4 linked regions of the Oreochromis niloticus genome follow. The protein of the gene in region 4 interacts with the protein of the main gene of each other region in a biochemical or structural test. Links are inferred from orthologs where the notes say so. Each region holds a gene or a part of one and is shown on either strand. Other genes may lie near its edges. The genes, in order: E3 ubiquitin-protein ligase pellino homolog 1, irak4, irf7 and irak1.

Region 1 (8,015 bases), on a different chromosome or scaffold from region 4:
GACAGCTTTGCAGACAACGAAGTGAGTGCCAGATTTCTCAGAAGAATCCGAGGGATCACTAGCAGTAAGAAACCCACGTTTGTGTTCAAGGAAAATGATGAGGCATCTTTCCCACGCAAGGATGTGCTGAAGAAGCTACCTCAACCTCAACAGGCTGGAGGAACTGCAAGGAGGGAGCAACAGTTCATATTCCCCTGCAACCTTGATCATTGGAATATTGAATAGTTCTTTTGAATAAATGGTTTTGAACTGGTGGTTTGTTTAGAAACCACCAGTTTCCAGGTTTGTTCTCACAGGTTTACAACTGTTAAAATGGTTTGTTTTCACAATATGATCAGTTTTACATTTTAAAAACTACATGGTCAGTTTGCCCCAAGATGGCTCAGTTTACCCACTGACTAGGTTCAATTTACCCCTAATCTGGGGCAAGTTGAGCCAAAGGAGCATTTTTTTTTAATAGGTCATTATTTTGGGCAGCGTCATCAGACATAGATTCTGATCATTACATTTGAAAGGAGACATCCTGAAATAAAGGAATATGTTATCATTCTATTTCTGTGTCATTTTTTTCTCACATCCAGGGCAACATGAGTAAAAAGTGGCTCATCTTACCTCACTCTCCCCTAACCCTCTCGTAAACCCTGTTCACCGAAGTCTATTTACCAACATACGTTAAGATATTACACATAAAAAAAAAAACACACGGAAACATTGGAAATCAGTTTTTGGCAGGCGAACACTTTTTGGCACGACACCTGTCCGCGCTAGGGGCTGAACCATTTGTTAATGATGGAGGGGTGGGGGATAACACTATGCAATATATTTAGTTTTAGAATTTATATTTAGTGTTAACTGTAGTTAATGTTATCTTATTTTAATAAACAACACTGTCATATGCAAAACTAGGGTGGCAAGACATCATTTTTGTGTGGCACATGCCACCCCATGCCGCAGGGTTTGTACTCAACTATCTGAGACTGGCTGTGAGTCATCGACCTGCATCTTTAATAAGCATTAACGTCACATCTCCACATGTTGTCTTATCACGTTATTCTACCGTATTTCTTAATCTACGGCAAGGAACATAATACATGTTCAACGGATTAAAGCATATTGGTGTTTTTAAAAACAACTGCCTGACTAAAGACTCAAACCGTGAAACTTCAGAGGATGGAACATTAAAGTGATATTAACTTTAAATAAATATATATGTGTCTCGTTATTCTAGCGACGGAAGTTGTGTTTGAGTTTAATTAATCCAAATTTTAATTGTTTCGATGAATTTAAATTTACCCAGCAAGTTGAACGACGAGTAAATGATACATTAAGTAATAAAAAGTACACGTGTTCCGATTCTTTATGCGATATAAACCACACCGACAATTAACATCCAAACGCCATAAGCAAGCTAATAAAAACAAAGCACTCGAGTCTGAGCTGACCTGCGAGTCGAAAAACGTCTTCTTCTGGTTATCCCTGGATGAATGAATGAAAACGCGGTCAAGAAGCTGGGTGTGGGAAAACATGTGCCGCCAAAAGCGTTAGAACAAGGAAATGCGGAAACATGATGTGTCGGAACTGAAGAATCATATTGTCGCATTATGACTTGAAACGTCGAATTAGTTCGAGTGCTTCCCCCGCTTCCAACCCACTCAAGGATTGTGCTAATTAGTCTAAGGATTGTAACATGCAGTCCTATTAAGCATTCTCATTAAGTTCTTCTTCTTTTAACGAGAACTTGGCAGAGATGATGAGCCCCTTAGATTGGTGAGAAACCAGAAGATACAAATATGGAATGACATTTAGGTTATAACAAATGCGCGAGCAAAATAATAATAATAATAATAATGATCTGAGCAAATAATTTCATTTCACAGGCGCAATTAAATTCCTCGCGCCTAAATTCAACAACGTATGAAGTTATGTGGAGGCGGAGCCCAAAGTAGGACGGGGTCCTTATGTGATTGCTTACTTTGATGGACACTTTCGGTTTTTGGCTTAATCTGAGTTACTCTTATACAGCAAAAGAAGCGCTGTTTTAAACCGTACTTGTTTACAATTTGAAAAATAAAGTTTGCCAAATTAATTATCAACAGTTATTGCTTGCTGTGCAGCAGTGGAAATACACATAACTGTCACTGGATTACTTTAATGCTGAAGAACCAGAGGCATGTTTTATAGGATCTGCAGTGCTGTCCCATTAATCTGCTGTACAGTATTGCACAGCTTCTATGATTTAAAAAAAGAACTCATAACGAGGACCAGGAAAGGAAGAGTGCATCAGAATCTGGCAATTATACATTTGGCCAAAATCCAGACAGTTAAACCAGCCAGTAGAAAGTTGCTCAGTCTGCATCAACAGTGAATTTTGGAGGTGGGAACATGATGGTGTGTGTCTGTTTTTCAGCATATGGTACTGGCACACTTCAAATAATTGAAGGAAGGATGAATGGAAAAACGTACCAAAACATTCTTGATAAAAATCTGCTGCCAGATGATGCCATGGTGCATTTCTTTCAAGTTCATCCCAAAATGTGTTATATTTTTAAAGGAAGTACTGTCAAGAGAAATTGAACCACACACTTGAGTTGGTTAGAAATATGGTGTAGTATAATATTATATAATAAGCTCAAGTCATTCATATCCAGTTATTTACAAAGCAATAGCTATTATTCATTTCCTACTCCTGCATGAGGTTTTTGTAATCAAAGAAAACATCAGTCATGCTATCCTTATGTGATTTTCACAGCACCACAATGTTTTAAGGATGCTTAAAAAGAGCAAAAGAAATAAAAATGTTATTACAATTATCTGTCAGTTGTTTAAATAGAAGTGGAAAAAGCAGAAGAAGACAAAAGTAAAGATCAAAGCTGCTAATGACACCCACCACAGTCATGTCATCAGTGAACTTGATGATGTGGTTCTAACTGTGCATTGCTGCACAGTCGTGAGTCAGCAGAGTGAACAGCAGTGGGCTGAGCACACAGCCCTGAGGGGCTCCAGTGCTCAGTGTGGTGGTGTTGAGATGCTGTTACCGATCTGGACTGTCTGAGGTCTCGCCGTCAGAAAGTCCAGGAGTGGGGGTGGACTTCCTCACCAACACATCATTCTGAGCGTCAAACCGTGGATAGAAGTTGTTCAGTGCATCTGGTAGGGAGGCGTCACCCTGGCAGGCAGGTGTCGTCTTTCTGTAGTTGGTGATGGCATGGATGCCGTGCCACATGCGCTGCATGTTGCCAGGTTGAGTTGAGCATATAGCATATAAAAATGTATAGCATATAAAATTCATATCTAAAGATTATCAGCCTTGTCTTCAATCAGATGATTTAGACCTTGACAGGCTGAACTGTGACGTCAGAGTTTAATCTTCCTCCATAGACTAAACATTGAATTCAGTCTCCTGCAATTCAGTGTTTAGTCTACACAGTGGCACACTGCAGTTAGTAATGTCTGACATGACTGTTAGTGTATGCTATTGTTCCCGTTGTTTGGGAAACGCTTTCCACCTTGGGATCCTAAATACAAATAAAAGAAAAGGCTGTAAAAATCAGATCAAATACTCTCAGTAAAGGAACATGACTCATTTTCCAGGAACTAAGATCACTTCAAAGTTGGACAGTGCTCTTCTTCCATTACCAGCACAGCATAGCGTTTTACCTTAACCGGAAATAACGCTTCTAGGCAAGAGCCTTGTTACAGCTGTTCTGTTTATCCAGTACTTGTTATTTTTGTCTGTTGTCTGTCTCTATGTGTTAGCCTGCCTCAAACTGGCATAAGAAAATAGACGGATCGATGTTTTACGTATAATATCTGATTTAAATTGTGTTGTGACATGACTGGAAAAAATACCAAAAAAAAAAAAAAAAAAAAAAAAAATCAACACTATTTACATAAAAAAAACTACCAAGCTAACTTTTTGAAGTACATTTAGGAACAGGATGAAGCTTGGACCTCTACATCTTTGGGGACGGTTAATCAAAATGAACCAGTTGGTAACTCACTCTTGTCTTTCAAAAGTCTGAGCAGCAGCCTAATGTACCAAAATGCATAACAGACACGTCGGGGTTTAAACAGACATTATTAACATTTTACATACATATTATCCGCCTAGCTTACTCATTTCCGGCGATTAAGGACCCTGGAATGTACTTGACACGTATTTTGCTCACTACCGACTTCTTGGCTTTAAATATATTATCTCATGCGCAGGATGTTTTATGCTTGTGTGCTGTCATCTGTGCTATGTGGTTTACATTCTTCTATAGTTACATTTCCTGTCTTTCATATTTATATTTTAATTGATTGTTACTAAACCATTGCCCCCAGGATTAATAAGTATTCAGATTCTGATTCAGATTTTGATTTGAATTTAGCTGAAAGACCTAATGTGAGGAAACTTTTGACTAACTAAAGAGAATGTCTTATTGGGGTAACAGCTGCAGCAAGTCATAAACTTAGGTTTATGACAATCATAGTTGTTTGTGCACGGCTACACACGCAGACCACAGAGAAAACTGGAAGTACAGGTTTTGTATTTTCATAGTAAAACAAGTGTTAATGGTGCAAACATTTCAGCATCTCAAATAACCATGTTCTCTTAATTAACTATGAGGAAAAACTAAAAACTAAAAGTAGACATGAAAATCATTTTAGTTAACTAAAATAAAAATAAAAACTGGAAAAAAAAATCTATGCGTTAGCCCTGCGACAGTCTGGCGAACTGTTCAGGGTGTACCCCGCTTCTTGCCTAAGAGAGCTGGAATAGCAACCCTTAATAACAGAATGGATGGATGGAAAAAAACTGAATCAATTTAATAAACTTAGAAAACTAAAGAAATGTATATGTATATGTAATTTCGAGTTTATAAGACAAACTAATGGCATTTACTTCAGCTTGAAAACAATTTGGTATTTGAGTAAGTATTGAGTATTTTGGTATTCAAGTAAGTTACGTTGTTTTACTCTGAAATGTGAACCGGAAATCAGTAGCCTTGATAGCTAAGAGGCACAGTTGAGTTTGAAAACGGAGAAGCCAGCGTTCGCTCAGTGTGGGTTTGTTAGGAACTATATCGATAAAACGTCGCCGAACACCTGGTAAAAACTGAAGTAACTTTGACATTTTATGGTCTGAAACGGCTAACAGCGTTTGTTCCCTGGAACAAAGACATCCGGGACATTCGACTGCTTTAAGACGAACAGTAACTTCGGTGAGTTAATTGTCTAAGGAGTTGATTCTTTTCGTCATTGTTACCGCCACTAACGCCGACTAAGTCTTCTGCAGTCAGTGTTAACCTTATGCTAAATAAGTACCTAATGAACTAACACATTCTCTCCTTTTTCTCAAGTTTTACGATCGAAAAATGCTAACTAGCTACGAGTTACCGTAATGACGTTATATAGGGCAACAACAGTGTACCCAATTTCTTAAGCCATTCAAGGTTTAGGTTTAGGTGTAAGCGCTAAATAACCATATACGCGTTTTTTTTTTTCACTGACAAAATCCCAAACACAAGTTTTTTGGGGGGGTTTCTCGTGAAAATGTGTGAGTTTGGGTTAACGTAAATCAAATTTTATCGACGCTTTTTTATGGTCGTATATGGTATTAAATTTCGTAATAAATTACGGTGACACGTCTTTTTCGTAGTGACTTGTAAAGTGGAGTTGTTCTATGCATGTCATAAACGACTCTGAAGTGTCTGCAGACTCCAGTTACATAGCTTCTTTTCTTTAATAGTGTGTCGTACTGATTTGTCCACAATAGAGTGGCCACAAATAGAACTCCAGATATTTAATTAAAATGTACACACAACACTGCTATATTCTACAGCTCATTGAATTCAGGATTTGAAGTTATTATTTACATCAGGTAAAAAAGGTAGTGTGTGTATATTTAGTGTCTTAAACAGGGCTCTGTCCGTGGTGGTACTCCGTCCTGTCCTGTAGCCCAGCTGGCCTCCTTTGTCCTGGCCACACAGACTGATTAGCATTCACCATCCTACCAGAGCATCTGTCTCCACAGACACTGCTTTTGTTCCCCATTTAAATTTTGAAACTTTGTCCTTTTTGTCCATCTGTCCCCTCATATTAAAAGCCTACAGATGTGTCAGCCCATCTTCAAAGACGAATGTTGATCTAAAGCCTGGAAAGTTTTGAGTTCTAGGTGAGAGTTGCACAAGAGGATAAACAGAAGTGATGCTTACAGTTTACGTAAATTGAGATATTTTATTATCAGAATATCACCATTTATAGCTGATTTACATACTTTAACGTTTCTGTGGCTATTGTTCAAACTGGTATTCACAAACAAAAGAGCAGAAAAATTATGATATTAATCCTGAGGACGAATCTGTGAGAGAACTCTGAAATGCTAAGGATGGTAGTTGTCCCAACTTTGTCGCCAGAGAGCCAATCAACACCCAGATAATGAAACAGAAAAGCCATGTCTTTGACTTTCTACCACTAGAGTGAGGAGATCTCTGAAAATGTTGACTTTATTTTTGGCCAGTCCCCACTTTTTCACACCCCTCTTAGGTATATGCAGAACATGCCTGCTCGTGTTCTGGAGGCACCTCTGCGGTATGTGTGTGGAGTGGGAGGTATTTCTTCTTCAGAGGTTATGTGGAATCATCACAGGGTGTTATAGGTCTTGTACCTTGTAGCTGGTCTGGTTTGGTAAAAATCCAACACCTCCGCCCTCCTGTTATTTCTTTAACATTATTGTACATCAGAGCTTATCCTGTTGTGTCCATCTTTTGCTAACTAACTTGTATAGTACCCACAAGTCTTGGCTGACATTTCCTTTGAGCTTTAGGTTAGGATAACTTAATCTTTCATTTCAGCTCAATAATAGTTACAGATCTCAGAGTTTTAGAAATACTGGTTGGATGTTTCTTTCTGAATTTTAACATAGATCTATATCTTCAACTTTTTTCCAAGTAAACTCATAATTTTCTAGCATAGTTCAAAATTTCAAATAGATTTATTTTTAGAGTTTCATCATATACATGTAAGCCATAGAAGGGCTCCAACTCTCATAGCCATGATAGTTCTTTGCACTTTAGGATTGTCTTAATCCTAATAAAGGTTTTATCCCATGCTGGCATTCTGGCCTGGCTAAATAAGTGTGAGCCATCTGTGATTGGTGAATATTCTGCAGTTTTGTGGACTGTAAACACCTTACTTTCACAGTTCACAGTAATGAAACAATATAGTGGTCAGATAGAGGTACCCGTTTGTGTCAGGTGTTATTCTGTTGTCTTCTGTTTTTTTTCATAGTGGATAATGAAAAAAAGTGACTAACAGCTCAATGTACAGTGCTGTGGAAAAGTATTTTCCCTGTTTATGATGTCTTTCTTTTTTATTTTTGGACTTTTTGGCACATGATGTAAAATAATAAACAAAGATGGCATGAGAATTACAAATTGCAATTTGTAAATCATGATTTTATTTATTAATGGTCAGAGGGCCCGGTGGCGCCAGTGTTCGGCAGCCTCGCCTCTGTCAGTGCGCCCCAGGGTGGCTGTAGCTACAATGTAGCTTGCCATCACCAGTGTGTGAATGTGTGTGTGAATGGGTGGATGTCTGGATATGTAAAGCGCTTTGGGGTCCTTAGGGACTAGTAAGGCGCTATATAAATACAGGCCATTTACCATTTACCATTCAATGGGGGGAAAAAAGGCTGTTTAGACATACCTGGCCCGATTTGAAAATGAATTTCCCCCTGAACCTGCTGGTGTGGCACTTTTGACACCAAGAACTGCAAATGTTTGCATGGGTCTTTCACATCACTGTAGAGGAAGTGTTGTTAGTTCAAACCCAGTTGAAATGGAATGTTAACTTTCCAAAAAGTTCACCTTCTGCCTCCTCAGTCTACAGGGTATTTTCTGCTTTGGTTATCATTAAGATGTTTTTTTGGCAAATGTGACATGACCCTTTTGTACTTGTACTCTCCTATAGATTAGGGCTGTTCGATATAACGATATATATCGGATGACGATATAAAAACGTCGATCGTT
Region 2 (7,820 bases), on a different chromosome or scaffold from region 4:
GTGTCCTGCAGGTATATATGTGTCAGTAGTTTGGGAGAACCTTGGAGTCAAGGAAAGTGCTGAGTACTGCTCTACATTTTACATTACAGCTGCAGTTTCTCCAGCCCTATCTGTGTGTATCTGTGTGTGTGTGTCTGAAGAAAGCCTACCACTCCAAAACTGAAGACATCGGATTTTGGTGTGATCTCTCCTCTTAGCGCCTCCGGTGCCATGTACGCACGGGTACCCACGATCCTCTCAGTCATCATGGTCGTCGATGTTCGCTTGGCCGATGCTCTCGTCAGACCAAAGTCTGAGATTTTGGCCACAAATTGTTCATCTAACAGAATGTTCGCACTAACAGGGAAGAAATACGAGCCAGAGTGAGCAACAAAACATCCCGTCATGTGTCATGTAAAATGTATATTTCTACATTTAGGGAAATGTGATTTTACTGGCTTCCTTGCCAAGAGTTAAACTAAAACATCAATACCTCTTGCATGATTTTGCTCATGAGCCTCTATAAAACTCACTAAATTACCAAACTCTACCTTTCGTGCCCAACCTGTACTGTTGCATTACTAATTACTCATGATCTTCATGATCTTCACCTTTTTCTAATTTTTATTTAGCTCTAAAGAGAACCTTGTCATATGATCTGCAGAAAACCATATGGGTAAGCTTTCTCTACATCCCCAGTCTTTTTTTGGTTCTTTGTCTAACACAGTAATGTGATGTAATGTGTATAGTGTTCCATAAAGGTACGGGACATCAAAAACGGGACATTTTCTCTCTTCTTTGTGGGATATCTCTAAACCAATAACGATGAAAGCTTTCGCTCTATGAACCTTTTAACATCTCTGTGGACGTGATGGTTGGAGTGCAGATACTCCAAACCTTTGGCTGTTCCTTCTGCTATCAAGCACCTGTGGTGCCAGGAAAGTGGAGGACTTCCTTCCTAAATGAACAAAAAAAAAAAAAGCATGTAATTAAATCCCTTTCTGAAAGCACTGGGACTGAAAAGCAGACTGTTTGTGTAGAAGAGTAAATAATGCTTACAAAGCAAGCCAGTCGGTCTAATAAAGATCCATTGGCCATGAAAGCGTACACTAAACACAGGTGCTGTTCGTCACAGGAAAATCCAACCATGTCAACCAAGTTCTCGTGTTTCAACCTGTGGAACAAATGCTGTTATTAAACCACACCTGCATTTGTAAATACACGTATGTTAAATATGCTTCTTCACCTTCTTCCTGAGGGAAACTTACACTTTCAGAGTCTGGATCTCTTGGTTGAACTGATCTTGCAACTTGTCCAGTGGCATGTCGTCCACCTAAATAATACAATATCTCAAATGCAATTAACAGCAGTACACAGAGGCATGTGGTTCTGTTAAAAATATTTTCACTTACTGGATTGAGTTTTTTCACTGCAACTGGTTTGTCATCCAGGAGACCTTTGTATACCGTCCCAAAGCCTCCCTCTCCAATTCGGCTGCCACCAGCTGACGTGGACCGGTCATCAAAGTTGCCTGTGATCCTCATCAGGTCACTATATAAGAAACTGGAGAAGCCTAAGGGGGGAGACGCAGTAAACTGCCTCATTAACTTCTCTGATCAAGAGCCCGATGCTGCCACCTGCTGTCGATTACATAAAATCACATCTTTACAAAGAAGCAGCATCACTTACTGAAATCAAAATATCATCTTTGTTGACTACCCTAAACCACTATAGAGCAGCTTTGTTTACAGTGCTCTAATGTAATCAAGTAGATTTATTGCACTACTTTAGTGCTGCAGTGGCAAATTTACATGGTGCTGAGAAAGATATGACATTTTAATTCACTGAAACCAGGCTTTTCAGCAGATAATGAAAGATGAACATTATCTACTTAAAAACATCACATGAATATGACTCATAAGTGACTGTGTTAATAAATGTCATACGTGTCATATGTTCAATGTCATATGTTCAATCAAGATATGAACATAAAATTAATACATAATCAAAAAGTGAAAGACCTGTGTGTATTGGTTCGGTGTTCTCCTCTGGCGTCCGAAGCTGCAGCACAGTGGTGACAGGCTGCTGCACATCTCTCTCTTCCAGCAGTCTGGTTGAAGCAGTGCTTCGGGTTTTTAAAGGAGTCAGCTGTGTCTCCAATGGACTGGACTCTTCAAATGTGTGAGGACAAAAACAAAAAATGATCAGAATAAATGATTGGGTTTTACATCCTGTATCAGTGCGGTTTGACTGTTTCCCCTTATGTTCCAGGCATCACACCTTTAATATAACATAACAGATGTTTACTCATCCACTACCCAAAAAGTTCAGAAGTTTTTTGCTACATCTCTTATTGCAATTTCATAACTCGTGGTTAACATCTTATTTTCTTACAAGAATTAAAAAAAGGGGGGATACTGGGAAAACGATTTGGGGTAAGTTAAGATTCAAAGGTTTATTCTACCTGTTGCGTGTGGTTACTATTTAATGGCTTTTAAAAGTCATACCGGGTAGCAGAACATTGGCAGCAGCCAGTAACTCGTGACTCTTCAAAATGTCCACAAGTTCACCCACTGTGCTCTTGGTGGTCCCCCAGTCATTGAGCAGCTCCATTGTGGGACTGCGACCCTGTGCAACAAGACCCTCAAATCTCCTTAAAAGACAGCGGCACATATTCAGTAAACAATAAGTAAACAATCAGTGTGATTTCATTCAGTGAAAAGCAAGCACGTCAGAAAGTTTGCCCCCATCTTACCTGACATGAAGCTGGGAATACCTCGGCTCCCCGCTCGGTTTCTGTATATCTACAAGAACTTCTTTCCACCTGTCCTGAGGATCCAAAAAATCGGACAACTTGCGACGTAAACAATAACCGAGGTTACGAATATAAGTAGCGGAAGTTACTGAACTATCCATTCTGCGGGGAACTTGTGACCAAACCCGAGATTGGGTTTTATCTAACAGTCATGTTGTCATGATCTTAGACCTGAAGACGTTAATTATACTCCATCGAGTGGATTCTTTAATCCAGAAAAATCGCAAACAGTTATGTTTTGCTCACATACCTAAAAAAACAGTGTTTTCCGATATTGAGCAACTTCCCCAAACGTAACCAGCAGGGCTGGCCCACAAAAGGTCTCCGCCTACAAAGCGGAAACGCAAAGAGTGAGTGCTGTGGTATAATACAGTCTGTGCTGGCTGTTCTTACCTGTAAGCGGGCACAACAAACTAACAATAAACCTCCGTGTGTTTATTTATATAATTATCTTTTTGGTAACACAAGAGCACAAGAGCAGAAAGGGAGACAGCTGTCGTGTGATGGTGGTTTACAGTGTCACAGTGCCCTCTAGTGGATAATGGAAATAAAGCAAATCTTCCATTCGGGGCTGTTTGTGTATGGCTAGTGCTGTTGCCTTCCAGCAAGAACACCCTGGGTTTGAGTCCACCACTCGGCTGGGCCTTTCCTGTGTTGAGTTTGCATGGTGTCTGCGTGGGTGCTCTGCCTTCCAGAGACATGCAGTTAGTGGTGCCCGTTGGTGTGAATGGTTGCCTGTTTTAGTCCTGCGTCAGGTTGGCGAGCTGCTCAGGGTGTAAACTGTCTCTCACCCAAATGATATCTGGGATAGGCAGAAAAGGATGGATGGAATGAATAACAGAGAGACCTTAGAACTGTGATTGAATTCATAATAATTGCTGCGTATATCAAATATTATAATACTTGTATGCATATAATTTAAATGCACAAAAACAGAAGAAAATAGAAAATAGTTCCCTTAACATCTTCTCAATCTCGATCTTCATCTTCTCTTATTAAACTCTAGGTTTAACGCATGCATTCATTTGGAAATGTGATCATATAGCTATATAAGTAAGTATTATGAAAAAACAAACACACATCTTTTTTGTACCTATTTGTGTATGGTGAATACATGATTTAAACACTCAACTGGACATTTATGAACTACTATGTTGCTACATCAACACACAATGTAAACCAAAGGGTGTCATTTTTGCAGGATGTTAGGTATCGATCAGCCTATCCATCACCCATAAGGCACTTTTTTTTTCACTGGTGTTTAAATCACAGTCACAGTCCAGCACAGACACCCCCCCCCCGCCCCCACCCCACCCCAAATAAACTCCCCAAATGTGTTGCAGGACAAACTGATTTTTTTTTCTTGGAAACTTTAAAACTACATCAAGGCGGTGACCTCGATCGAGCCATCTCATGTCAAACAAATTTGGCAAACAGCTGGAGGCATTTGGTCTAAACTGCTTGGAGTACCTTTTTTGTTGTTTCTGTGTTACAAAAAAGCTGGATCTGTTTATGGTGTGTTAGTTGCTATTTGCACTGTATTTGATGAACTGTGATCAGTTCCATGTGCAAATGGAAGGCTTAGCTGTATTACTGGATGGGATGGATTACTGGGTGGAGTGATGAAGTGCAAGATGCGTGTGTGAGAGACATAAATTTCAGACAAAAAACCCACACACAAGATTAAAACTTTTTTTGCATCAGAAAAGTCTTACAATAGCATGTTTTAAATGCTAATATGAACAAGTGAAATTAAAATCCATTTGATATTTATTGAGCTATTAACATCAGCTCAACCCATCAAACAAACCATCCACAGAGACCTGCTGCTAGCACTGTGCACACACCAAACTGCATCAAAGCAAAAATTCAAGTGTGCTTGAGTTTTGATCTTATTTGATATTAAACTTTCAGTCATGCATGGGCACAGTTCTCACTCCTTCTCTGAACGATTGTTCTTACATTAAAAAATATTGCGTTCAACTTTTGTTTATTAAATTATATTCAAATGCAAACTTCAAAAATGTCATCTCAATCTACCCAAAGTCATCCAACACCTATTTTAAGTAAGACATAAATAATGTTTGTATGTAAGGCTATTACTTTTAGCATGGAGCTTGTGAAACCAGTGACCCCGAGCACATGGCCATCACTGCACCAACAGACTGAACTCACAACACACGCTAACACAATTCTTGAATGCTGCATGTGATTTTGATGAGTCCCGATGATGACAAGCAACATTTGCATGATTTTACACAGTTGCGAGTCATTTCACTATGTCTCTGTGAAAGGAGCATACAAGAGATGATCTAAGCAGAGAGAGCCAACTGTAACCCACAGGCCTGTTATGATTATATTTTTATAGGCTTGGCTGATGACACCACGAGTGATACTCTCAATAAAAGTTAGTGACTCATAAACTTAAAAACAACTTCTATGACAATGCATACAGATGGTCTGCATTACATGAAAAGGAGACTTCACCACATAAATAACCAAAGTGCAATTAAGTTATTTTGTGAAGGAAAAGCAATGAGAGCCATTACTGCAATTGTGGTGCCCAAAAGTGTGTATTCTCTTTATGCTTGAGGTTTGATGCCATCTTTTGCAAATACATAATACATGAGACCAACTGGAGCTCGTCAGAAGTTGTTTATTATTAAATGACAGGTGAGGACATTTGAGTACCTCTGCATAATGACATGGGACTTCATTAGAGCAATTGTATGTTGTTAGTAGGAGTTGGAGTGTATCTGTACCTGTCTTCTTTCTGTGTATGTGTGCTAACCTGGGGTGCGAACACAAGCCAGCGGTGCCCAAGAGATCATCAAAGAAGACGCTTGTTTGACGAGGACCTGAGCTGCCGAGAGCTCAGGTAAATTCCCTGTGTGTGCTCCTGGTGAAGGATAGCTCTCACACCTGTGCGCAGGAGATTCTTTGAAGTGCCTGATCATCTCGTGCCTCCTCTAACCCGACTGACAGGATCCAAACACTGCATGCACGCATCACACGCAGAGGCAGGGAGTGAAGCCAGAGCCTCTGCTCTCCTGTGGCGAGTGGAAGGATGAAGGGAGAAGAAAATAAAGAGAGCTGGAAAGGGAGAGTCTGACGCTAAAGATGAGGAGAAGTATAAAAGTTCAAAAAACAACAACAACACAAAAAAGGAAAACTAACAGCCAGCACAGGGGAGAAGGCTCTCGATAATTAGAGTGCAGAGGGAAAGAGATGGAGAAGAGGATCTGATAGAAGCGAAGGAGAGGTGGAGATGTGAGGGAGAGCAGAAAGCGAGGTCCCCTGTAGTTTGGGAACAAGGGCAGAGGTGGTAGACGTGCCAAAGTGGCTTAAATCAGCGGGTGGAAACGCTGCAGGTGCAGGAAGTGATCTGAGGAAGTCATGTGATATCTAGGAAACTTTAATGGTAAACAAGGACACATGAAATGAGAAGCTGTGCTAGCCACGGATGCTATATGGTCCGTTGTGATTGCATAACAGGCAGAATTACGTCTATTTCCCAAATGACCTTGATGGTGATGGGGTTACATGTGGGATATTTTTTTTGCAGCAGACGTTATTGTTTCATAGCTTTTAGGAGTCTGGAAAACTCTTATTAACTGTTCAACTTAATAAGTTGAACAGTTAAAATTGTTAAAATTATTGAAATGTTTTGGAAAAAATTTTGAGAAATTTCACCCTCAGAATAGCAGATGTAGCCTTTATATAATAAAAAAAAAAATCCCATTAGAATATTATTTTCAAAGGACTGTGATATAGTTCAAAACTAAAGCAGATAGGGAATAACAATAAAACACAATAACAGGGGACATAAAAGGCACAATTCTCAAATAATAATGAGTATTTTTTTTAAAACCATTAAAACCATTTGGTGCTTGTTGCAAATGATCCAATATACAAATATACCATTTTAAAACATGTGTTCAGCATTATGCATCACAACTGTACCACAGTGAAAATGTGTGTTTTATTAAGAGGGAATGTGTTTTTAAAATTTTGCAAGTAACGTGAATAAAATCTGCAAATTTCAAAAAATTAAAATCAGTTGTATAGTTAAATTTTAATGCATGTCTGGAACACATGATGGAACACGTTGGAACAGGAAGGGGCCGTCCCAAAACTGTTCCCACAAAGTTGGGAGCATGAAATAGTTCAAAATATCTCAGTATGCTGAAGCATTAAGAGTTCATTTAACTGGAACTAAGGTGCCGACCCATTTCCTGAAAAACACCTAATGTCCCCTTTCACCACACTTCACACTTGGAAAGTGTAGCCAGATAAGCATGGTTCTCCTGGCAACCTATGAACTTAGACTGATTCATCAGATTGCCAGATGGAAAAGTGGGATTTGTCACTCCAGAGAACATGTCTCTACTCCTCTAGAGTCCAGTGTCTCAGGGTGCTTTACATGACAACATCCAGTGCTTTGCATTGTCCTTGGTGATGTAAGGCTTGGAAACAGCTGATTGGCCATGAAAACTCATACCATGAAGCTCTCTATGCACTGTTCTTGAGCTGATCTGAAGGCCACATGAAGTTTGGAGGTCTGTAACGACTGACTGTGCAGACATTTGGTGACCTCTGCACACTATGTACCTCAGCATCTGCTGATCCTGCTCTGTGATTTCATGTGTCCTGCCACTTCACGGCTGAGTTGCTGCTGTTACCATTAAGTTCCACTTTACTATAGTACCACTATAACTGTGGAATGTTTAACAGCGAGGAAATTTCACAACTGGCATTCTATCACGGTACCATACTGGAATTCCCTGAGCTCCTGAGAGTGACCCATTCTTTCACAAATGTTTGTAGAAGCAGTCTGCATGCCTGGCTGCTTGACTATATATACCTGTGCCCATGGAAGTGATTGAAACACCTGAACTGAATAATTTGGAAGAGTGAACGAATCCTTTTGGCGGTATAGGAGTTTTTGCACCTCAAAGGAAAGCTGCAACACAATTGTGGCAATGATCGAATGTACACTGACAGAACCAGAGGGCAAGTTTGGAAG
Region 3 (7,537 bases), on a different chromosome or scaffold from region 4:
AAGTTCATTCAGCACGGTCACTGACACGACTGATCTGTGGACCTTGGTAACCTCACCTTAGGGGAAGTCATATAATCCACACAGTATGCTTCTTCTCGCTTTGAGACATTGTTTAAAAAAAAAAAAAAAAAAAACATGTTGCATCACACCTCCAGGATTTTAGTTTCTGTTTTGAACAAACTGCTTTTGTTTTGAGACATGCTTTGGAACCTACAGGGCAGGTCAGTCTTGGCTCAGCAGAAAACTGACTTCCTGACATAGTGCTGATTAGGCATATCAAACATTATTAAAAATTATATTAGAAATCATCTTAGAGCAAAATTGTAGAATATGTAATCTGTTTCAAAGGGCACTCATTCAAAGGGCAGTAACTGGGCTGGACAACTGCCCAAAAGACACACCTGATCACAGCATATTATTCGAGTATTATCAATTAACCAACAATGATACACAGGGCTGGAAAAGAGGTATCCTATAAATGATCCTAAAACAAGCAATAAACAAAAGTATGGACTGCAATTGCCAGAACTCTGTGTGTGCATACTACAATGCAACTCAATAAAGGCAAACATCGTTACCAGTAAATCAATAAATCTTGAATCAACAAAGGCTATCTTCTTGGAATATCAACCCATGTTACAGCTTCAGATGAAATCTCATTCACCTGTAAGGGCGTGTCTATTTACGAGAAAGCGGTGGTTTTCTTTTTTTCAGTCAAACCATTTTACTCCAGTGTATCAACACCCCCGCAAGTCTGTTTCTTTTCCTTACTTACAATACGTTAAGCCAGCACTGCTCCCTGTTAAAGTATGTGCGTGTATGTGGGATGATATAGCACACAGAGAGAAAGAATGTGAATGCAAAACAGAGAGATGAATGTGTGTGTGGGTGTGTGTGTGTGTGGGGGGGGGGGCAGAATCTATATTTAAAATTCCCAGTAGAAATCCCCTTTAAAGATATAAGAAGTCTGACTTGAAATGCACCTGCTTAACAGAAGTTTGTCCTTCAAGGACAAGCTGAGCGCTTCTTATGTCGCTTGTATGTTATCTCTCACACGCGGGAATGATCTGCTGTTGTGTTCTGCAGACAAGTCAAAATATTACCCTTGAATTATGCATAAACTAGCAAAATAGGATGTGACAATCTGTGTTGTGTGTCAATATTAAAGCCAGATCATTCCTAATTAGCTTCTTTGAGCCTTGGGGGTTTTTTTCTACAAGGTCCAACTACAAGGACTGCACAGTTTTCAGTGAGCAAGAAAAGAGAAGTGATCCATCTACAGCATGAATCACTTCCTTATTCCTGACACAGATGCTTGGCTCTGAGAGCTATATTCCCTAAAAAGTGAGAACGTCAGTAACCCAATCTGTGGTCAGAACATGGTTGTGCAATCTGAAGATTAAAAGTATCTAAAGCGCACAGAGAAACTGACATTTTGTGGTGGGATTGTGGGTGAAAGGTAGAAAGGGTTCCTAGGAGGATAGGGTGAAGAAAATACCTTTCAGTTAGTCTTTCGTGCACAGAGAAATTCTGAAAACACAACAGTGGAAAGAGGAAATGATGCCTGGGTTGGATCAAGTAGCTCAACAAAGGTTTATTCTTCAATAATGCAGACTACAATGCATGCAGCTGAGACACCCCCAAAGCGGTATCACTGTCAGGTTATTAATATTCTTTCTGATTCTACCACATGACACAAGTCTGTACAACACCTGCAGAACTTTGAATCAGAAAGTCTCAAAAACAGAGACACACTGCTTTTAATACACACTGTGGGGTATTCACTGGTGGATTTATTTTTCTGAACTCACTGGAACTTGGTGGTTTCAAGGGGGACTCATTTAGCAAGAGTTTTTAAAAAAAAGTACATCGGGACAGACAAGGTGAAACCATTCAATAATGCAGACTATTCAGAAAATCAGAAAAATGTCAGGTATTATCTGAGTCGAAACTGCTTAAGAGATGTTTAGCAGTTCCTAAATCATATGATAGGTGTGAAAGAAAAGATTAACATATATTGCTATTTGATGTACTGACACACTGTAATAAAAATATTCACCCTGTTATATAATATACTGTGTGTACTAGTGTAATTTGTATATCTCTGTTTTCATATTATTAATGGATGTACAACAACACCTGCATTTATTCAGCATCATATATGTGTAGAAATCTTTGAATACACCAGATTTTTCATACTGAATAAACTGGCATTATTTACATAACACTGAAATGCATAACTCATAAATCTATGGAAGTGATGTATAGAGTCTAGACTGGATCAGTTTAAAGTTCATGGTATACAATAAAAATTGCCGTAAAGCTAAATTTGTGTTGATAAGGTTTTCAAATATCACCCTACTACTGTTGATACTATGTACACTACCAGCCACTTTTTTAGGTACACCTGTTCAACTGTTTGCTAACACAAGTATCCAGTCCAAACAGAAAACATCAAGACAGCCTGATGAAGTCCAAACCATGCATCAGAATGGAGAAGCAAGGTGATTACAGTGACTTTGAACATGTCACACTTATCGGTGCCAAACAGCCTGTTCTAAATATTTCAAAAATGCTGTTCTACTGGAATTTTCATGCACAACCATCTCTAGGGCTTACAGAATATGCCCAGAATATAAGAAAATTAGTGAGTGGCAGTTCTCTGGGTGAAAATGGCTTGTTGGTGTCAAAGGTAAGAGGAGAATGGCCAAACTTCCTTAAGCTGACAAGAAGGCAATATTAACTCCCTCGTTACAACCAAGGTGTGCAGAAGAGCCTCTATGAATGCACAGCACTTCATACCTTGAAGCAGATACAGGTCTTCTGCTATCAGCTAAGAACAGGAAACCAAGGCTACAATATCCACAGGCTCACCAAAATTGAACAATAGAAGATGGGGAAATGTTGCTGTTGGGTCTCAGTTTCTGCTGTGACATTCAGATGAATGTCAAAATTTTAGACCTAAACTACATGGAAGTATGGCTCCATCCTGCCTTGTATCAAGAGTTCAGGCTAGCGGTGATGCTGTTGGTAGTGTAATGGTATGGAGGACATGCCAGCACTGGTTATAAGGCTGTTACTGTCTATTTTTTTCATTAGATGAAGGTGGTGTGTGTGATGTGGACAGAGTCTTCAAAATTCTCCAAAATATCACTGATAGATATATATCAGTGGTAAACATATCTATCTACACATATATATCTATATATAGATATATATATATTAATAACACGTTAAATGATGCATATTTTTAATCAGATGCTCGTGAATTCTCGTGACACTGGTGAAACTCCCAGCTGATCACTATAACTGAACGTGACCCATAGTTTCGGCGGGCAAAAAACTCTTCGAGTAAGCATTTAACTATGGGACAGTAAGCCTATGGGATGATGTAATGATTCTGACGGAGTGACGAAATAGCCTAAAAAAGGCCGACGTCGTACTGAAGTAGTACGCATTACGACGAAACACATTACGACGGGTAGTTACTCCCGTCCTAATGTGTTTCCCCGCGTCGGGAGCGCGCACTGAGCAGGGAGAGCGTATGCGGTTGACCCTGGCTCAAATTCCAAACAACCAGACGCGGAAGTAGTGATGTTTTAGTTTTGTGTAAAAGTGAAAGATGGGTTTTGTTACATTACCGTCAATTTGGTTACAACAGACATTGATACATCATTACGGATTATTAAGAGATAAGAGAATAGGAGGAGAATCTTTAACGCTCAAGATACCAATTTCTCAACAAGTAAACGGCTCTGGTCGTTTTCAGACGTCCTATAAAAATACTATTTGCTCGGATTTTTGCACATCGCCAAAGGTTATGTCTGCTGAGCACATGACTGAAAACAATTGTCAATTGTCTATTTGTTTTTATAAAACAGATTTCTGTAGCTAAAACACAGAAATCCCCCCTTCCCCCAGATAGACCACATGATTGAATAATGGCCGAATGGATATACATTTAAAGTGTTTTTTATTCAAACAAGAAGTCGGTATTTTGACATTTTTCATTCATCCAGGCTGCAAGGCTTCCTTGTCATCACCATAATCTCCGGCTCACTGCACAGATTCTCTATCAGATTGGATATTGACGGTCTGGCTGGGCCGCTCCAAAATGTTTAGATTACTTCCAGTCAGAAGATTACTTTAAACCTACATAAGGCAGGGCGGTGAAGCATTTGGGGCTCTATGTTTGTGTTGCCTATTTGCACAGTAGACACGAAACCTGTTTATGTTATATTCTCTTCTATTAAAGAAAAAAAAACAAAAAAAAACACATCCCTTCTCCCTGCAAAGTGCGCGCTCCCGACGCAAGGGAAACAAATTTCGCTTGGCACGCAGCCAGCGACTTTCAGATCTCTCCCAGTAATCTCCAGCAAGAAATTCCATTATACAAACCCACTAATACGCCCATTACATCCGGTCGGCGAGGCTGTCTTGTAATTGGTGTGTAAGAAACAAGCACTCTCAGCCACTCGTGCCCCGAAAATCCCACGCTGGTGTTACTTCCACCCTCTGAAGGAGGGACTTATAAATGGAGTATAAATGTTAGAAGACGTGTTCGGAAAATTCAGACCGACGGCTTTACAGAGAATCGGTGAAATGCAGAGGTAAGAAGAAACTCGTCTTGTTTTTCTCCCTTGCACATTTAATAGTTAATAGTACTGCGGTTTATTGCTGTAGAATAAATCTGCAGCTTCCAGTTTTGGGAGTTTCTTTTTGAATGTTCTCAGATTTCCCTTGTGCGCTCGTAAGCCGTCTCTATTTATTCACGCTTGTTGTTGTCGCTGTCGTGTTTCCTGTCAGCCTCCCCAAACCTCAGTTCTCCAGCTGGCTATTAAAGCAGGTGGAAACGGGCCAGTACGCTGGCCTGTGCTATGTTGAACCAAACAAGTTCAGAGTCCCGTGGAAGCACAACTCCAGAAAAGACTGCAGTGACGAGGACAGTAAAATCTTCCGGGTAAGTTTATTGCCAGATTAGCCTTTGTTATCCGTGCGATCAGATAAAAGGGTTAAAATGACTATGTTGACATTTTTACTGAAATAATAAGCTACTACATTGATGAGTAAGCGACTTACAAACTAAGCGTGTGCTTTAAATAGTTCCAAAAATAGTTTTGTTGAGTTGTTGTTACTATCAGGCTGGAGTTGTTTAGCTTGTTGCAGCTGTTCCCAGAGGCAGTTATGGCATCATCTCTAGTGGTGACACTTGAGTCAGTGATCTTGAGTCAAAGAAATCCTGTACTAATGTTTTTGATACATTTAATGTGCAAAACCACAGCTTGTTTTCATACTTAGAGCACAGTTATACGCCGGTGCCAGTATTAAAGGAATTCTACAGATTTCAGCCAAGTGTCTTCATTTTTCACAAACAGCCACTTCAGTTTAGATGTGAAATCCAAATAGTGTGTGAAACAATTAGGAGGTGCATGTGAAGTCTAATGTGTGTAATTATCTCATAAAATATATAGTAAGTTTGAATTTTCTACCCGGCTGTCATTATGTTTACACCTCTCTGCATTTCCTCCATAGGCCTGGGCAGTAGCAAGTGGGAAAATTAATGAGTTCCCTAATGACAAAGCCAGGTGGAAAACCAACTTCCGCTGTGCTCTGAACAACCTCTCTGTGCGCTTCAAGATGGTAAAAGATAACTCCAAGAATTCTGATGACCCACATAAAGTCTATGAGATTATCAACACTGCACGTAAGCTAATCATCACTTAAGCCGAGATTCTGGGGTAAAACCGTTCCGAGTTTGAATGCATAAATAACGCTGATCTTTCATCTTTCCCTGAAGAAAACCAAGACGGTCTGGCAACACGGGACCCTTGGGAGGACGCTGACATTATACCAGATATATACAGCTCTTCCACAGAGTACCTCCTTTCAGCAAATGAGGTTCAGTATCACATAAAGCGCTCTTTCACTTCTCTTAGTTGGTGTAATCTCACTTGTCTTTGTGCTTCTAAATATTAACTGTTTCACTGCCTCTCCCCAATAAACAGCATGATCTGGTTAACGATTTGATGGCCTTGGGTCTTGGCAGCCAGTCAACAGGTAAAGTTTGTGGATCGCATTTGGTTTTCTGTGGTTTATAATGGAGGTTAGTTGTAGTTTAAAATGATTTTACTGTCAAAACAGAGGAGCAACCATGGACAGAGAACTATGGCCAGCAAAATCAACCCGCAACTGAAAGCTATCCTGTAGCAGCCGAAAACAACCCACAGCTTTTACCAGTGCAGCAAATCTGTTATGGAGGTATGTTTAGACAAATTTCTCTTCCTGGATGAAAGGTTTACTAAAAATATGTGTACATAGTTACCCAAGAAGGAGGGATCTGTTGTCTATTAACTGTTTTGTTTTGTACAGTAACTCCTGCACCAGTACTCACTTCACCTCAGCCGGGGCTATTTGACCTAGAGGTCTCCATCCACTACAGGAAAAAAGAAATGGTAAAGATGACTTTGAACACTCCCCGACTGCAGCTCCACTACAACTCAGAGGCACTTGGGTATGAGGCATTCAAACTCTGCTTCCCCTCCACTGATGGTCTGCTGGACCACAAACAGGTATAATCATACCATTAGCTAGATGCATGTTTTACACAGTTGTACCATCCAAGCAGACACTAGAAATTATGTTTATTATGTTACTTCAGGCATGAAGCTGACAGATTCTGAGATACTGTGTATGTCACAAATAAAATTTGACTTTAGAATACGATAGATGGATTTTACCCCTACTTTTAGGTACAGTATACTGCTGTGTGATGAGGCATTTTCATGTTTTACTCACCACAACCTTCTTATTACCAGATTGAATACACCAACCGCATACTTAATAGCATCCAGAGAGGTCTATTCTTGGAAGTGCAAGAAACTGGTATTTATGCCTGGAGGCAGGACAGATGCCATGTGTTTGCCAGCACCAGTGACCCTAGTTTGGCTAATGCAGAGCCAGCAAAGCTTCCCCAAAACACCATGGTGGAGCTCCTTAATTTTGAAAAGTTTGTGAATGGTAGGTGTAGATGTTTGCTCATTTATATATGTGTATATACACCATATACTGCTGAAGTATGTCTGTGAAGGTTCTTAGTCATCCAGGTCATCATAGTCTAAGGAGCTTGGAAAGAAAAGCGTCTGGACTTCTTTAAGTTGCTTGAAGACGTTTCATCTCATAAGCCCTGTTCAAACAGAGGTGGTGGCTCACGGCACCAACTGTCTGCCATCCATAATCCAGTTTTGAAATCCCTTCCCAGATGCCTTAATGCCCACTCACATCCTGGGCCTTCTGACCTCTGGAAATCACATGATAGGGTGGGGCTATGTTTCATAATGAGTTCACCCAAAACCTTGGCTGATTGTGACCTACACCCATTTTCACACCTTGGCTCATGTGATTAGGTAGAGGATCATTAGGGGGTCCATTGTCCCTCTTGGGCGGACACTCCCATAGGGCTTAAATCTGGGACTCTCCACCATTTCACCTTAGAACTGAAGAAGCTTCTCGAATTAGAGGTGAAACGTCTTCAAGCAAC
Region 4 (7,635 bases):
TAGCCTTAGAGATGACATCTGGTGGGAGCTTGGAGTAGAGCTGCTACCTTAAAGTTGAAAGGAGCCAGCAGAGATGGTTTGGGGATCTGATGAGGATGCCTGTCAGACATGGGCTGGAAGTAGAACCCAGGGGACACACTGTGGAGATGATATATGTCTTATCTGGGCCAACGATTGTCTTGGAATGACTCTAGAGTAACTGGAAAACTTGCTGGGGAAAAGACTGTCTTGAATACCCTGTTGCTGTCACAGTGACCCATCTTAACCCTTTATTTAAAAATGAAGTGAAACTTGTTAAGAGTAAAAGTTTTTTGGAGGCTTGTTTAGCACATATTAAAACCAGATTACCTGCAGAAGAGCAAAACACAAACACAATGCCCCCACAATCTGGCCGCACTGTGGGTAGACCCACACAGTCCATTACTGGCAGCCCACTGTAGCAAGTACTAGCATAAAATGAGGGCACACCTGGACCCCACTGTGGGTCTGCAGCATACCCTCGGTGTGGACCCAGGTGTGTCCCACATTTTAGATTGAGACCCTGTGGGCTGACTACCCGGCCACCACAATCCAGGGCACATTACCACCAGCAACTGGTATGGAGCGTGACTCTTAATTTTTCAATGAATATAAAACAAATCAAATTTTAGCCGCTTCCTTAAGTGTAATTTATGTCCTGGAATTGTGTCAGTCTGCATACACATTTCCGTTTGAACTGAGAGGGGTTTTCACTCACCACAGATGTGCTTCTGTGCAGTCCTCCAAAATCTCCACTATCCGTAGGTGGTGGGTCTGCCAAATCCTGATTGGTTGATAAGTGGGCTGGAACAGGGAAGAGAGCAACAGCGGAGTTCACCAGGAACTGGAGACGCACAAAGCAAACACTGAAGCTCAAAAATAAAGCAAAAATAATAAAAAGTGTCCACTGCAGACACTTTTTATTATTTTTAAAAGTGGATTTCATTTCAGCTCTTTGTAACTTTGCCCTTTTCCTGGGCTGGCTGACGGACCAACAACAGCTGACGGACCAACAACAGCTGACGGACCAACAAAGAGTGAAAGTGACCCACAGGCCAGCTGTACCACATATTTTGTATGCTTCCTCTATCTACAACAGAGTGTGCTGTAGGTAGACGGGCCATCCCCGAGCTGCCAGCGGCCTGTGAACGCATTCCCTCTGCTGAGCCATAAATTCCACTTCATTCACATGTAGTTTGACCTATCAGCGTCGACAAAAACAAGTGATATAAAGGTATAAATCAGTACAGTTCCAGCCATTAACAATTGTGAAGCTGTTTTGGAAACTACTAAACAACTTATAACCAATCCCCATCCCAAGGTCCGACCCAATAAGATACTTAAAATTAGGCAAGTCCAGTTGTTTTCAAGGAATTAAAGTAAATAATAAAAGACTGCCACATCTGTAAAAACTTACAGGCGTTCCCTCTGAGTGTGAATTTGATTTTTTTCCAGTTTTTATAAAAAAAAACACTTAACATCTTTCAGCCAAAGTGATGTAGCTGCAGGATGAAGAGCTTTCAAGGACAGCAAAATTCTACAGTGCACCAACAGTGACTGTATGTATGAATGAATGTAAACCACTACAGTGTGGATCCGCTTCCCCTCAAAGGGGTGAAAAAACCCAACAACAATAAACTCAAATCCTATCAAACAAATAAGCTGACTTGAATATATTGAAAATTGGATATTCTCTGATATCTTTTACTTCTTGCCTGTGCGGGCCTACACTGGATAAACAACAGTTTTGCCTGTTGGGGTCCGTCTGTGGGTTTTCTGTGGGCAAACACACTATGGGTTGACCCACAGAAAACCGTCATGGGGGCCCTGTGGGCTAAAACTACCGTGGCACCCGTACAGGATGACCACAGGGGAGCCAATGAGCGTTTTTCGTGGGCAAGCCAACTGTGCAACGTCATCCATTTTATGTAGTATAACATGAAACTAGTGGTCAAGCCCATAAAGTCAATGAAACCATTCACTGAGGTCACAGAGCGGGGAATCTTAGGGACATTTTTTTCACCATGTGCTTCCACTTGAGTCGCCCCCTGGTGGTAATTATGAACATTGCATTTTTGGCCAATTGTCTTTAACATGGACAATATCAGAGTCAGAAAGGAGGAAAATCCAGGGTATTGTCACTGACTAATGACCCCGTGGTGTGCTCACTTTCACAGTCATATCCACGCCTCACACGTCATGTCCAGTTTCAAAACACTAAGTTGGCAAAAACAATCTGTTTGGCTTTCAACAGTGGGTGGCGTAATGGTGGCACATTTTTTAGTCTTTTTTACCAATCTGTCAAAGAGGTAACTCAGAGAGCCAGACAACCGTTCATGCTCACGATCACACAGTCAGTTTAGAATCACCAGTTAACCTAACTCAATGCATGTCTTTGGGCTGTGGGAGGAAGCCGGAGCACCCGCAGAGAACCCGTACATACATGGGGAGGACAAGCAAACTCCACACAGAAAAGCCCCAGACTGAATTCAAACCCACGACCTTCCTGCAGTGAGGCAGCAGTGGACTGAAATGACAATTATGTAGTAGAGCAGGACCTCAGCATTGGAGGGGACCCACAAAAATTAATTTGTGCTAATTTTTAGAATTTGTCTCAATATCCTTTAGGTTGAGTAGTTTATAGAAAGTATCTTTAAAAAACAATCAAGCAAAAGCCTCAGATATGAGAGCCCAGCTGCACAGGGTGACCGTGAGTCCCAGTGATCTTCATGCAGTCTCATACCTGACGGATTATTAATCTGATGACAAAACCAGATTCTTAAACTTGGAATTTTTTCAAATATCTCCACTGAGGTCAGCAAAACTACCGAGCTTCTCTGTTTTTCGCCGAGACGTGACTCAGTCCTTCGGTTTACACGGTTCTACTTCATGCTGTTATTCTAGCTGTATGTGGTATTAATAATAACAGTTTGCTGTTGTTAATCCTTTGATACAAACAAACTGAACTGAGCTAATGAAGCATTCAGGCGTTTCATTCAACCACTTACATTCAAATAAATAAGGTGAGAAAAAGGAAGTGTGAAACGTGTGTGTGTGTGTGTGTGTGTGTGTGTGTATGTGTGTGTGTGATGTAATGCAATGCAATGCTTCACATTTGTCATAGTTAAGACAGGAAAATGACTCATTTTAGTCAAAGCCACGAGGAAATACTCACTTAGGACTTCCTGTAATGAGATGAAAGTCATATGTAGATACACAAACGAGGTCTTTACAGACATCAGTCCTGCAGGATGTAAAACAAGTATAAAATGTTGTAAGCATAAAAATTAATATAAAATAAGTTAAAATATGATGAAATCTCTTAATATATTACAATAAAGTGTCTCTTTCAGGTGACATAGCTCAATGCATTGCAGGAAACATTAATTGCATTAACATTAATTAACATTAATTGCAATGTGAAAAGGACATTTTATAACTGTAATACATCTACATGTTTTCAAAACTGTTAGTATTTGGATTCCATCACAGCAATCTCAGCACTGACCAAAATAACTGTGATTGAAATCAAGCAGCTCTAGTTCTAATAATATCCTATTTTCCGACTGATAGTTAAAAACCAACAACAACAATCTGGAGTTTGTCATGCAGGAAATTATATTTAACCAGGAAACGGTTACAGTGGAGAAGCTGACACTTTGCATGTAAGAACGACCGGTCTGATGTAATACACTGATACAAATCATGGTATAGAGAAGAGTAATACTTGGATTTTCTGGTTATTTTTGGTGATTTAATAATGAAAAGTACATTTTATGCTTGAGTAATTATCATTAACCCCCCCAAACAATGAATTTAAATTATTTTTGAATTTTGACTGTGCTTCATAAATAAAAATAATACATATAAACAATATAAATAAATTGGAAATTCGGCCAAGCAAAGACTCCAATCTGGCCCCACTGGACAGCTTTTGAAAATGTGAAGGAATACATTTACTTTTAGCTGCATTTTTCTATGTTTTACAGCTTTATTTTCCACAGATAAAGACCTCTCCCATGGTCATTAATGCTAAACCAAACTAATCAGGGAGTGATAAGAAACGTTCCTGTTTTTACTGCTACAGAAATGTCTGTTTGTTATAAAGGATGCACAATTTAAAGTGTCATTTTCTGCGAATTAACAAAAGCTTTCTATATTATTTCAGGATAGTCAATAAACTACCCAAACTTTTTTTTCCAGTAATTTTATAACTTTATGTCTTACAATTTAAACCCAGAGTCATGCTGACAGATTTTTTTCATTTGCCACGACAGCTTTTCTTTGTCATGTAGAAAAACTGAGATGTGCTTTTTTCTGTCCGTCCTGTCTTCTTTTCCTATTCCTATTCCTATTAAGACATCTCGAGGATTAAATGTGTAATTAAACTGATTTAAACTGTCAGAAAGGGAAATTTCACTGGTTTGGTCCACTTCTGATCAAATGGGGGTGTATGGGGCTCACGAGGTAAAACATTTGTTTAAAAAAAAAGAAGTGAAAAGTGAAGAAAAAAGTTTTAAAACGGTTCATTTACTCGGGCTTTTATTTTGGTAGCACGGAGCGGAAGCAGCTAGCTTATTTCAGGCGGAAGCGCTGGAAGACTCAAACCTGTAGTTTGAGAGAGTTTTTGAAGTGGTTGAATAGATTCGTTCCGGGCGGTTCTGATGTGACCCAGTGATCCAGGTCCTTGTGTGAACCTGATACCCTACAGACCGCCCAGAGTTCCTCGCAGTGGTCGCTGTCATCGGTTAGCCTGTTAGCTTCAGCGTGGATTAACTTGTAGAAGGAGTTAGGTAAAGATGTCGGGAAGAGACCCGAGGGCCGTATTGTACTTCAACCTGCCCGCCTCCGTTGACTGTGAGTTCTGCCGCATCATGGACGGGCTGTCAAACCAGGACTGGACCCGCTTTGGTGAGTCAGAACCCGAACATTGACTGAGAGCTAAAGGCCAGCAGCGTGGGGTAGGAGGGACGGTGGAGCCCACCGTTAATTGGGTGTTTCATCAAAATAAACTCTAGCGTGTTTATTCGATGTAACAACTTTCAACTTTAACCGCTGTCGTATGAAATCACTACAGAAAATAAGAATTAAACAAGCTGTGAGAGCCTCAGCTGTGATTCATCCTTCTCGGTCTGCCCTCAGGTACAGGGCTTACCTGTCCCATCTATTTCCACAGAGTTTTAAAATATATAATAATATTAATAAAATATTATTTTAGCGTGAGTGTCAGCTGAGATTAAATCAGGTACAGTTTTCTTCCAATATCAGGTCACATTTTGACTAGAGTTAGTCTAAATATAGATACATTCACCGGTGTCTGTTTTGAGGAAGTCTCTGGTAGACGTTATCTGTAAGTGCACTTGGTTAATATTGAGTAAATACGGAGCACAGGAATGTGACAGAAACTGAAATGCCTGTGTTCTGACACATAATGAAATGTGATTAGGAACAGTTTGAGGTTTCTCAAAAAATCCAGAATGTTTCTGTTTTACTGTAACCTCTCTTAACTAAGGTTGTGTGGGGTTTATTTGACTAAAAATTAGGTAGAGCTCTGTTATGTTGGTGTACTTCATTGAGTTCAGGTGGCTTGAAAAATCTTAAGTTTTCTTAGAATGAAATACACTTTTAAAGTTTTACATTGTATAAGTAGCATTTGGCGATGGTGGGGAGGAAGACCTCTGCCAGTCTTTTCTACTTAAATATAACTTAAGTTTTACAGAAAAAACGACAAAGGCACAGACTTATATTTGAGCATTAGAGAACATTCACAGCTGTCAAAGTGGAACAGTGAAAAGAAATACTAGAGCAGTTAGAGGTGGGAGAAAAGGTTTAGATGTAGGGCTCAGAAACTGTATACAGATGATGGAGCCAGGGATTGTGATGTTATTTTGAAGCCTCACCTTTTAGTGTCTGTGAAGGTTCTCAGTCATCCAGGTCATCGTAGTCAAAGGAGTTTGCAAAGAAAAGCGTCTGGACTTCTTTGAGTTGCTTGAAGATGTTTCACCTCTCATCCGAGAAGCTTCTTCAGTTCTAAGGTCAAATGGCCGAGAGTCCCAGATTTTTCTTTGCAAACTCCTCACCTTTTAGTGTTTTGGCCCCCTGCACCTCTCCTCTGATATCACCATCAGTTCGAATTTGCATCACACTCGCAGCCATCGGAGGCAGCTACTTGTGATCCCTGAGACATCCCTCCATTGTGGCTTATCCTGGTCAGTATAAGCCACAATGGCGACTCTTTATCGAATTACCTCAAGTGGCTATTTAAGGAAAATCAGTTTTTGATACTCGTTTTTGTTTTAACCATGAAGGTTGGCTTGTTGTAGCTCAAAAAAAAAGAGACAAAGTACCACTAATGTGGACTGTTCCAGCTCATATTTTTTGCTGTTGCTGGTAATTTCATTTTTGCCCTGCTGTGGAGACGGCAGAACAAGCACTTCTTTGAAATGAAATGAAACCAGTTGTTAGAACAATAAATTGCCATCGCCTGTACTTTTCCTGTTTGCTTCTTTAGTCTATGTTGGGGTTTTTTGCACCTCTTCCTCCTTGTGGTAAACTCTGGTCATTTTTTTCTGTTTTCAAACTGAAAAGCGTCAGGCCCAGTTGTGTATCCCACCCACATCAGGTGATGGAGTTGTGGTTTGCGGCGGACAGCACGTGCGCTGGTTATGTCCTTGAAATCTCTCAGACAAACTCTAATGCAACACTGTAGCACTGAAGCATGAGTCACAAGTGTTAAGCAACAGATAAAGATGTTAAAAAAATATATAAGGGCAAATGTTGCGCGCTAAATAAGACAAATAACATCACATGCATCAACATGCAGTATGTGTTGTTCAGTAAGTATTTGGAGTAATTTTTATTTTCGTGTTCTCGCCTCTGTACACTTCCACGGTGAAATTTTAAAACAATCATCAAGATGTGGTTCTGGTGCAGACTTTCAGCTTTAATTCGAGCACTTTAAAAAAAGAACCGCGCTAGCTTTCTAGGAGTTACAGCCATTTTTACCCCTCAGCTGTAAAAGGCTGATGGGAATTGTCATTGCCAGGCGGGTGGCGTGGACACCCAAGTTTATGAAAACAATAACTTGAGAACAAGGCAACGTAGGGTTTTCTAATTGATACCATGAGTCCATCTACTAAAAATCTTAGACAAGCTTGAATCTCAGTGACCTCAACCTCAAGGTCAAGGCCAGAGGTCAAGTTTTCTTTAATCATTGCATTCACAAGATTTTCAGAATGAAGTCATCTAGGATTTTCAAATTGATACCATAGGTGCATGCTAGTGATTCCTGAATATCTCTACCTTGCGAAGAGCCAAAACAAATCCTCTTTTTCCTCACTTCTTCTGGAACGCCCTAATTTCCAAGTTCCGACATCTGGATTCAGAGGTATCTGGAATGCAGCATCATGCACAGTTTTAGAGGCTCAAAAGTGATTGGACAATTAACTTGGAAGCCATGTCTTGGCTAAGGGAAGCCTGTTCCTTTGTTATTTCATGACAAACTAAGACAATAAAAGATGTTGATTCAGAGTGTTGAAATTTGCATTAACTCTCAAAAAGAGGCACAAAGAGGTGTTGATATTAATGAGGGAAGCATTATTAGGCTGACAAACACAA

Evidence for each region.
Region 1: of the proteins of irak1 (region 4) and E3 ubiquitin-protein ligase pellino homolog 1, one has a biochemical effect on the other in vitro, tested with the Homo sapiens proteins (5 studies listed by BioGRID and IntAct, with this or other methods). The link is inferred for Oreochromis niloticus from reciprocal best matches to the Homo sapiens genes IRAK1 and PELI1.
Region 2: of the proteins of irak1 (region 4) and irak4, one has a biochemical effect on the other in vitro, tested with the Homo sapiens proteins (2 studies listed by BioGRID). The link is inferred for Oreochromis niloticus from reciprocal best matches to the Homo sapiens genes IRAK1 and IRAK4.
Region 3: the proteins of irak1 (region 4) and irf7 form a complex in vitro, tested with the Homo sapiens proteins (2 studies listed by BioGRID, with this or other methods). The link is inferred for Oreochromis niloticus from reciprocal best matches to the Homo sapiens genes IRAK1 and IRF7.

What each region holds. Positions count from the first base shown.
Region 1 is NC_031971.2:1,157,854-1,165,868, reverse strand, and holds the start of E3 ubiquitin-protein ligase pellino homolog 1, read left to right. Parts: upstream 1-4,981; 5' UTR 4,982-5,207; intron 5,208-8,015. Other genes in the region: uncharacterized protein LOC109202627, read left to right, coding at 1-225. UniProt on the Homo sapiens protein: E3 ubiquitin ligase catalyzing the covalent attachment of ubiquitin moieties onto substrate proteins. Involved in the TLR and IL-1 signaling pathways via interaction with the complex containing IRAK kinases and TRAF6.
Region 2 is NC_031972.2:47,515,492-47,523,311, forward strand, and holds the start of irak4 (interleukin-1 receptor-associated kinase 4), read right to left. Parts: upstream 3,123-7,820; 5' UTR 2,896-3,122; coding exon 2,735-2,895; intron 2,633-2,734; coding exon 2,487-2,632; intron 2,151-2,486; coding exon 2,001-2,150; intron 1,553-2,000; coding exon 1,392-1,552; intron 1,313-1,391; coding exon 1,248-1,312; intron 1,154-1,247; coding exon 1,039-1,153; intron 938-1,038; coding exon 828-937; intron 337-827; coding exon 150-336; intron 1-149.
Region 3 is NC_031972.2:58,805,248-58,812,784, forward strand, and holds the start of irf7 (interferon regulatory factor 7), read left to right. Parts: upstream 1-4,420; 5' UTR 4,421-4,545; coding exon 4,546-4,610; intron 4,611-4,806; coding exon 4,807-4,960; intron 4,961-5,532; coding exon 5,533-5,704; intron 5,705-5,797; coding exon 5,798-5,898; intron 5,899-6,005; coding exon 6,006-6,057; intron 6,058-6,141; coding exon 6,142-6,258; intron 6,259-6,369; coding exon 6,370-6,569; intron 6,570-6,815; coding exon 6,816-7,017; intron 7,018-7,537.
Region 4 is NC_031984.2:5,048,990-5,056,624, forward strand, and holds the start of irak1 (interleukin-1 receptor-associated kinase 1), read left to right. Parts: upstream 1-4,576; 5' UTR 4,577-4,817; coding exon 4,818-4,929; intron 4,930-7,635.